Linked DNA regions of Sus scrofa. The protein of the gene in region 1 interacts with the protein of each later gene in a biochemical or structural test. Links are inferred from orthologs where the notes say so. Each region holds a gene or a part of one and is shown in the gene's direction. Other genes may lie near its edges.

Region 1 (3,760 bases):
GGTACTAGAGCACTGGTGACAGCTCCTTTTTTGTAAGGAACTTCTGTAAAGGTTATTTCTCCCTAAATGTCAACAAGGTGTTAAAAGAACAAAATATTCTAAAGTTACCAGGCCTAACATGAATCATGTGCTTCTGTTTTACTTTGTGTCTTATAATTCAGTATTTCTGATAGCACAATGACAAAAAAAAAAAAAAAATACCATACAGAACAAATAACAAGGCTTGTCCTGGGAGACAGAACTTTCTAGAAAAGATGTCATGAATCTTTGGAAAACATGTTTTCAATAATTAGATTTTATTTCATAGTTAAAAAACAAACTAACAAAACTCATTATATGAGGTACCAAAAACTTGTCAAATTCATAGAGACAGAAAATAGAATGGTGGTTGCCCAGGGCTGGGGGTGGGGGTAGTTAGTGTTTAATGCGTACAAAATTTCAGTCTAGCAAGCCGAAGAGTGGACACAGATGGCAGTGATGGACACCCAAATACCCCAATTTGATATTGTTTTGAGGTGTAGTCACTTGAAAAGCAGCAAATGCAGAGTGAGGCTTTCACTCAACTCCCCTAATCTGCCCAGACAGATTTTGCAAAAGAAACTCAAGGGAGTTTTCACCAACCAGGGAAGATTGGCTCTTAAAACAGGAGAGACAAACTTTGACACCAAACTTTGTCATCAACTATCTTGTCTCCATCTATTCTTCTATTTTCTCAGTAAAAATTATTTACTCTCCCTTTAAGAGAATTTCCTATTAAGATGGTATTTAAGCCTAAATTCTAAAGCCTTTTTTTTAAGTGACACATTTTCCCCCAGAGGGTAGCTCCCATATATACACAAGGTGTGCATATTACTAAACTATTGTTTTTGTTTTCTTTTGTTTTGTTTCTCTTGCTAATCTGTCTTTCATTACAGGGGTCTCAGCTAAAAGAAGGATTCCCAAAAGGAAAATTATTTTTCCTCCCCTACAATATAATTAATGCCACTGAGCTGTACACTTAAAAATAGTTAAGATGATACATTTTTATGTGTATTTTGCCACAATTTAAAAACAGCAAATTAAAAAACAAAACAAAACCCCAGTGAGTTAAAAAATTTCTTAGTGTTTCTAAGTTAGGCAAATTTGGGTACTGGAACTGAATCTGACTTCCTGACTGGCGGGGGGATAAGATGGGTTATTTTTAAGCTGGAGCAGTTTGTGTTCTGCCACAGAATGCAAATACATAAATGTAAGCAGGAAAACGGACAGAGTAGAGTCCCTAGGGCTTCTTTTTATTTTTTCTCTCCTAAGCTGCAGATTCCCTTTTATGGTTATATAACTGATGATGACGCAAGTCAAACCTTTCCCGTCCAGCTCTCAGATTTCACCCTTTCTCTTGGAAAGAAAATGTTTGCTGGTCACTACGTAGACACTCTCATGACGCTGAGTTAAGTCCCATACAAGGTGGTGACCTTCAGGAGAGCTGAATCCTTTGGGGAAAGGAGGAAAGGCAGACAGGTAGGCTCCAGTCCAATCCCCAACAGCCCAACACCCAGGCCCTTTGTGAGCTCAGCCCATCACGTGCTCTTGCCTGCCCGCCAATCCTGCCGTGTTGCTGGGCCTCTGTCACTCTTCCATTGGTGCCAGCTCTGAAGCCATCCCTTCTGGGGCACCTGCAAAGGATGGATCAGTGGGTGGAAGGAACTGAAAATGGATCCAATGACTCATCCTGCTTCTGGCATATTCTAGCACATTGCATTCTAGGTCAAGGGATTTTAGGTTGTAGGAACGTGACTTGGTACACGATCCCCGAATCCAAGTGGGACATTTAGACTTTGGGAGCCCTTCTCAGCAAACAGAAAAGCAGCTCTAACAAAAACAACAAAAATCCTCCGTAGAGCAGAATTTGTCAACCCATTGCATTGCTGACTTTGGGGGCTGGGTAATTCTGTTTTTGTGGGGGACTGGCCACTGCAGGATGTTTAGTAACATCCCTGGCCTCTACCACTAGATTTTAGCGGCACACCTCAACCCCAACACCACAGCTGTGACAAGCAAAAATGTCTCCAGATACTGCCAAGTGTCCACCAAGGGACCAAGTCGCTCCTGGTTGAGAACCACTGCTCTAGAGAAACAGCATCTACCTCCCTGAGAGTTTACTTCCCCCTCCTCCCTTTCACTTCAGTGCCCTTGGACAAATGTTTATTTCTATTTGCTTCAACAAAACCCACTGTTGGACTTAGAGACCAAAATTCTCTAGTAGAGAATTTTCCTGCTAGAGACAACATCAGTGTTGTTAGCGCCTAAGAATATTGTTTTCTCTTTGGAGATAGCCCTGGGACCCAGTCCTCACCCTTGGAGCCTTTCTTCTTCCCCCTCTCCCCCTCTTTCTCCTTTTCACCTTCCCTTGCCTCTGAAATCAGGTCTGTTTTTCTCTGTAGTTTTTGGACTCTTGAAAAAAAAGCTATGTCACAAAGCTCGTGACTCAGCCTTTAAACAACATGAATCATAAGACCTGCAGTGAAAGAACAGCCAAAAGAAAACAGGGTGTGGTTTGAAGCCAGGCCTAGTCACCTGAGAAAGAACCTCAGCTTTTTGTTCCTCTGAAAACTTCTTTCTGGAATTCAAGAAGGAAACCTTATACAGAGCTTTGATGTTCTGTTCCTTTAAACCCTCTTTTCAGAAATTTAGAAATATCCCTCACAGAAATCTCTACTGGAAGTCACTGAGGTCTCCTGCTAAACTGAAAAATGACATTTTATTTTTATTATTCATTTACATTTCTTGGTAATGAATTCATTCTCTTTGAAAATGTTTAAAACGATAGGAGTTAAAGTCTGTTTTGAATACTGCTTAGACCTTTCCCATAAATACCTACAGACACAGGTTGCCAAAGAAAACATAGTTTTGTTTTTATTCTCATTTTAAGTACAGTATTTAAATAACATAATGTTTATAATTCCAACAGGAATGTAGTCTTTTCCTAATAGCAGGGTATTTTTTAGTCGGTTCTCTCTTTTTCTATATATTTATTGAAAGCTTCAAGGGTAAAAATTAAAAACACCCTCCCCACATTTATAGAAATAGAGAATATTTCTAGAAGAGTCTAGAAAGAACAGTGGCTAGGGAATTGAGTGCATGAGGGAGGTTTTTCATTATAAACTATAGAAAACCTGTTTTAAGTTTTCATCACGTTCATATATTTTAAAACATTTTTAAAATATGCCTTTGGAAAAAAATTTAAGTATGCTTTTTGAAAAAAGGAAAAAATATGCTGGAGAAATGACACAGAGATCACAAAATAAAATATCAAAATGAAAAAGATCTGACTGGTGATCTTTTTCTTTTATCCAAATGGAATTTGTCTATAGATTTAAATTTCATACTTGGGGTCTTTTTTCCACCAGGACTATACAGAACTTACAATTAGTGTCCTTTTAAAAATCTCAGGCTCAGCGATAAGAAAGGAAATGTATATATATGCATGACTATCATTTTGCTGTAAAGCAGAAATTGACATTATAAATCAACTACAATAAAAAACTTCATTAAAAAATAAAATTAAAAAAAAGAAAAAAAGAAAACGTGGGTTTAAATAGATTTGATTTCTGATTTCTGAGTTCAAATGGCAGCAGAAGTGAAATTCTGATGCCTTCTTGCTCATAATCGGGAACAAAACAGGAAGGCCGAAGAGCAATCCGCAAAGTTCTGTCAGCTTTCAGGTCCAGCGCAAGGAGTGTTTCACAGCTGTGTGGAATTTTTGCTTTTACTTTTCAAAATT
Region 2 (2,592 bases), on another chromosome or scaffold:
GCCTCAACAGAGCTCAAAATTAGGTGTTTGGATGCAGTTTCCTCTCTTTTTTATTTACCAGTAAGTAGACTGGGAAATTAATAAAGGACTTAGGGATATGTAGGGGAGAAGAAATCTGTATGAATCAACATAATACTGGTTAACTTACTATAAATGTTGACCAAAAAACGCCATCTTTCTCACTTGTAGTGAAAGAAGATAACCCTCATTTATGACTGGTGACATTTTTTAAGTTAAAGTGGAATCGTAGAATGTTAAAACTGGAAAGGAGAGTTCCCTGGTGTCTCTGCAGGTTAAGGATCCAATATTGTCACTGCTGTAACTCCGGTCATCTCTACGGTGCAGGTTCAGTCCTTGGCCTGGGAACTTTCACATGCCAAAAAATGAACAAAAAAGCTGGAGAGCACCCTAGAAATTGCTTAATCAACCCCCCCCCCCAAAAAAAGCAAAAAACTGGGGCAGTTTGGGCTGAGTTTAGGGGGAAGCACTTCAGGCTTGGCAGAGACCACACAGCAAGTTAAAGACAGAGTATGATCAGAATCCAGGTTTCCTGACTTTCTAGTGTCCTGAGATTTTCCTTTTCCGTCCTGTAGCCTGAACAGCAGACTGATGACCTCCTGAGGATGACAGAATCCTGGTTTTCTTCTTTATCTCGGGACCCGCTGGAGCTCTTCCGTGGCATCAGTAATCAACCTTTCCCTGAACTACACTGTGCTGCCTTAAAAGTGTTTACGGTAAGCATTCTCTTCACAAGCCTTTCTAGGCCTCTGCCAGCTCAGTACCTGAATACTTAGTGAGCCAGTCCCTCTGCCTTGCCCTAGGGATACACAAGAGCACAGGAAGTTTCTGCCCTCTACTCTTAGTGTAGACTAATGAGGGAGACAGCTTTGTAGATAGATTTTATTAGTAAAAGGTATTAATTAGGTGCTACAGCATATGTTTGAACAGGATTAATTAATTAATCCAGAATTAATTCGGGATTCTTTACGTCCCTAGCCCAGGTTTTCCCAAGCCTTATTTCCTGCCCTTCCTTTCTGGCATAGGATGTTCTAGTGATACCAGACTTCTCATTTCATATCTCTGCATCCTCCTGTACTCTTTCCATTCAACAGTCTTCCCTGACTTCCTGGCTTTGCTTGTTAACCACTCATTCATTTTTCAAGAACTAGCTGAGGTATCTCTTCAGCAGGTGTTGCGAAAACCCACAAGGTTGAGCTAAGCAATATTGGCTCTTATACTTTGCATTTATTGATTCATTCAGCAAAGATTTGCTGAGTTTATTTTCTTTTTTCTTTTTGCTTTTTAGGGCCACATCCTCAGCATATGGAAGTTCCCAGGCTGGGGGTCAAATCAGAGCTATAGCTGCCAGCATACACAACCACAGCAATGCAGGATCCAAGCCACATCTGTGACCTCCACCACAGTTCACAGCAATGCCAGATCGCCAACCCACTGGGCAAGGCCAGGGATCAAACCTGCATCCCCATGGATACTAGGCAGATTTGTTTCTGCTGTGCCGCAACGGGAACTCCTTGAGTGAAATTTTCAAAAATATTTATATAAGTTGCTATTGGAGTTCCCATCGTAGCGCAGTGGAAATGAATCTGACCAGGAGCCATGAGGTTACAAGTTTGGTCCCTGGCCTTGCTCAGTGGGTTAGGGATCCGGCGTTGCCTTGAGCTGTGGTGTAGGTCACAGACATGGCTCAGGTCTCGCATTGCTGTGACTGTGGTATAGGCCGGCGGCTATAGCTCCAATTGGACCCCTAGCCTGGAAACCTCCATATGCTGCAGATGAGGCCCTGAAAAGCAAAAAAAAAGCAAAAAAAAAAAAAAAAAAAGAACCATATAAGTTGCTTATTCATTATTTTTAAATTTGAAAAAGATCAAGAAGTAGAATATACCTGTTTGGTATATTTCCTTTTAGTATTGGTATTTGTTAATATTTATTTATTTACTTATTTATTGGTGAAGTATTTCAAACACACAGTCATGCTACCCATGCCCAATCCAGTTCCCTTTTCTCCCTCTCTGGATGTAATCACTGTGATGAATTCAGGATTCATAAGCACACGCATGATTTTATGCTTTTACTACCTATGCATGTATACTTAAATTATAGTTTTTTTTCATGGTTGTATTATATTTTAAAATTATAGTATTTTACATATTCTTAAATTGTGTAAATAGTATGCTGTTCATATCGTTTCGCAATTTGCTTTTTCTCTTTAACATTATGTTTTTAAGACTTATCTAAACTAAAAGAGGCAATTAGAAAGTCACTAGGGAGTTCTCCTTGTGGCTCAGCAGTAACTAACCCGACTAGCATCCATGAGGATGCAGGTTTGATCCCTGGCCCCTTCAGTGTGTTAAGGAGCTGGCGTTGCTGTGAGCTGTGGTGTAGGACAGCAGCTGTATCTCCAATCTGACCCCCAGCCTGGGAACTTCCATATGCTGTGGGTGCTGCCCTATAAAGACAAAAAAAAAAAAGAGAGAAAGTCATTAGTATTTCATTGTATGGCTATAGTGTGTCATTCTCCAGTAAGTGAAGATTTAGATGGTATCTATTACAAATGATGCTACAATGAACATT
Region 3 (2,449 bases), on another chromosome or scaffold:
TGCATCCATCCTGTCTCTGCTGCCTCAGTCTATCCCTAGAATGTCCCTCAGTGGGCTGGGGGATTAGGAGGGATGGTGTGTCCACGGTGGCCAGCAGGTTCCGGATCTAGAGGCTGCAGCGCCCTTGGCGGTGCTTAGTGCTGGGTTTGGGCTCCAGAGCAGAAAGCAAAGATGTGTGTCAGACCAACCTAGGGTGGCGTAACCCAGGCTGCCAATGCCCCCTCTTTCCTAGAGGTGGGGGGAGGGTGAGGCCCAGGCTGGAGTTCTCAAAAGGGCTTTTCTCCTTGTTCTGCTGGGCCTGCACGATCGAGTTTGCTTTGGTCACATGCTAGGGCCTGCTGTGAGAAAGTTCTGTTATCACTGGTGTCACTAGACCCAGTTGCTTGGCTGGCATGGCCTCCAGGCGCCAAAATGGGCACTTTCTTTTTTTTTTTTTTTTTTGTCCTTTTAGGGCCACACCCACGGCATATGAAAGTTCCCAGGATAGGGGTCAAATTGGAAATGTAGCCACTGGCCCAGATCACAGACACAAGGCCAATCCAAGCTACATCTTCTACCTACACCACAGCTCACGGCAATGCCAGATCCTTAACCCACTGAGCGAGGCCAGGGATCAAACCCATATCCTCATAGATACTAGTTGGATTCATTACCGCTGAGCCACAACATGAACTCCGGTGGGCCCTTTCTGACTCGCTTTCCTCCCTCCTCCCAGCACTTTTCCACCGACCCAGTGGCTGCTTCTATCATGAAGATCCACACGTTCAACAAGGACCGTGACCGGGTGAAGCTGGGCGTGGACACCATTGCCAAGTGAGTGGGTGGACCCCACCCCTCCCACCAGGGTCCCAGCTCCTAGGCCTCCATTGCAACCTGCTGAGGGAGCCTGGAGGGAGCATGGCCCTGGGAGTGCAGCCAGGCCCCACCCTTCACTCCCCTAAGCCCTTGGGGAGGGGGCTTGGCCTCTCTGGGCCTCAGTTTAGCTATCTCTAAAACGAAGAGTTTTGCCAATTTAGGGGTTCCCAACCCTGACTTCCCTCCCAGAGCATCAGAACATGAAGGAGGCAGGGTTTTCCCCTGCCCCCAGTTCCTCTGACTGAGCAGGTCCAGAGGGGCCCAGGGGTCCATGTTGCCCAGGAGCCTCTGAGCTATCTCTGGGCACCATTATTCTGTCTCTGCCTGCTCCACCCCACCGTGGTGGTTCCTCAGTGCCCCCAGTGGGAGAGCCTAGACTGAGGAGGCCCAGTGATGGGGGCAGCAGGGGTTGGGCTCCGAGGGTGTCCAGGGTATGATGGCAGGCTTTCCTGGGTCACTCGTAGTACAAGCTGACGTGGCTGTGAGCTGCCATCCTTGTTCACCCCAGGTACTTGGATAATATCCACCTGCATCCGGAGGAGGAGAAATACCGGAAGATCAAGCTGCAGAACAAGGTGTTCCAGGTGAGGGCTGCCACCAGACTTAGCCTGGTGTGGCTAGCATGGCCAGGCCCGAGGCCACCCAGGACCCAGTCCAGCAGTAGGAGCAGGTGGCCTGCAGATAGCCAGAGGGGGCCAGAGCCAGGCTGCAGAAAGGCCCCTGCAGGAGTTGGGAGTTGGCAGGTGGGGAGGGGGATTCCTAAGCACAGGTTGTGTACAGTATGCATACAGTGTCTGCTCTCCCCACCAGCCACAGCATGTTTCGGCTTTTCTTTGAATTCATTGGAAACACATCAGCACTGGGGAGATTTTTCACGGACAGACTTCTGGTTTCTGTGGAGAAATCAAAGGGCCTCCCACCCTGGCCCTTTGGTACCTGTGCAGCTGGCAGGGCTCCACTGTTTACTGGTGGCCCCCTCTGAAGCCCAGCATCACACAGCCCACCTCCCTCACTTTTGGGGATTCCCTCGCCCCTCAGCCTCCTTTGCTCTGGTGTTGACCTTTCAGGGTCCCAGGCCCTATGTAAGCTAAGCCCCACAGACAGCTTCAGGGGTTCATCCTCTCTGGGGACAGAGCAGCTCTGAGACCCGGGACTTTGGGAGGAGGATGGGGTGAGCAACAAGGCTGGTGGGGTGCATGGGGGCCTCCAAGGTCCCATATGACCTCTGGTTCTGCTCTCAGGAGCGCATTAACTGCCTGGAAGGGACCCACGAGTTTTTTGAGGCCATCGGCTTCCAGAAGGCACTGCTTCCAGTCCCTGACCAGGGTAAGACGAATAGAGAAGAGCCTTGGCTGAGCCCAAAGAGGGTGGTGGGAGGGGCCTGGCTCAGAGTTGACATCCCTGTATGTCACAGAGGGCCCTGAAGAGTTCTACGTGCTGAGCGAGGCGGCCTTGGCCCAGCTACAGAGTCTGGAACGGCACAAAGAGCAGCTGTTGCACGCCGAGCCTGTGCGGGCCACACTGGCCCGTCAGTGCCGGGTCTTCCGGCCCTCGCCCCTGGCCTCCCAGTTCGATCTGCCCATGGATTTCTTCA

What was found.
Region 2: the proteins of UBC (region 1) and PSMD5 form a complex in vitro, tested with the Homo sapiens proteins (2 studies listed by BioGRID). The link is inferred for Sus scrofa from reciprocal best matches to the Homo sapiens genes UBC and PSMD5.
Region 3: the proteins of UBC (region 1) and UBXN6 form a complex in vitro, tested with the Homo sapiens proteins (2 studies listed by BioGRID). The link is inferred for Sus scrofa from reciprocal best matches to the Homo sapiens genes UBC and UBXN6.

The regions. Positions count from the first base shown.
Region 1 is NC_010456.5:28,252,416-28,256,175, forward strand, and holds the start of UBC (polyubiquitin-C), read left to right. Parts: upstream 1-1,441; 5' UTR 1,442-1,497; intron 1,498-3,760.
Region 2 is NC_010443.5:260,849,328-260,851,919, reverse strand, and holds part of PSMD5 (26S proteasome non-ATPase regulatory subunit 5), read left to right. Parts: coding exon 1-60; intron 61-593; coding exon 594-734; intron 735-2,592. UniProt on the Homo sapiens protein: Acts as a chaperone during the assembly of the 26S proteasome, specifically of the base subcomplex of the PA700/19S regulatory complex (RC).
Region 3 is NC_010444.4:74,374,370-74,376,818, forward strand, and holds part of UBXN6 (UBX domain-containing protein 6), read left to right. Parts: intron 1-715; coding exon 716-813; intron 814-1,363; coding exon 1,364-1,439; intron 1,440-2,096; coding exon 2,097-2,181; intron 2,182-2,269; coding exon 2,270-2,449. UniProt on the Homo sapiens protein: May negatively regulate the ATPase activity of VCP, an ATP-driven segregase that associates with different cofactors to control a wide variety of cellular processes.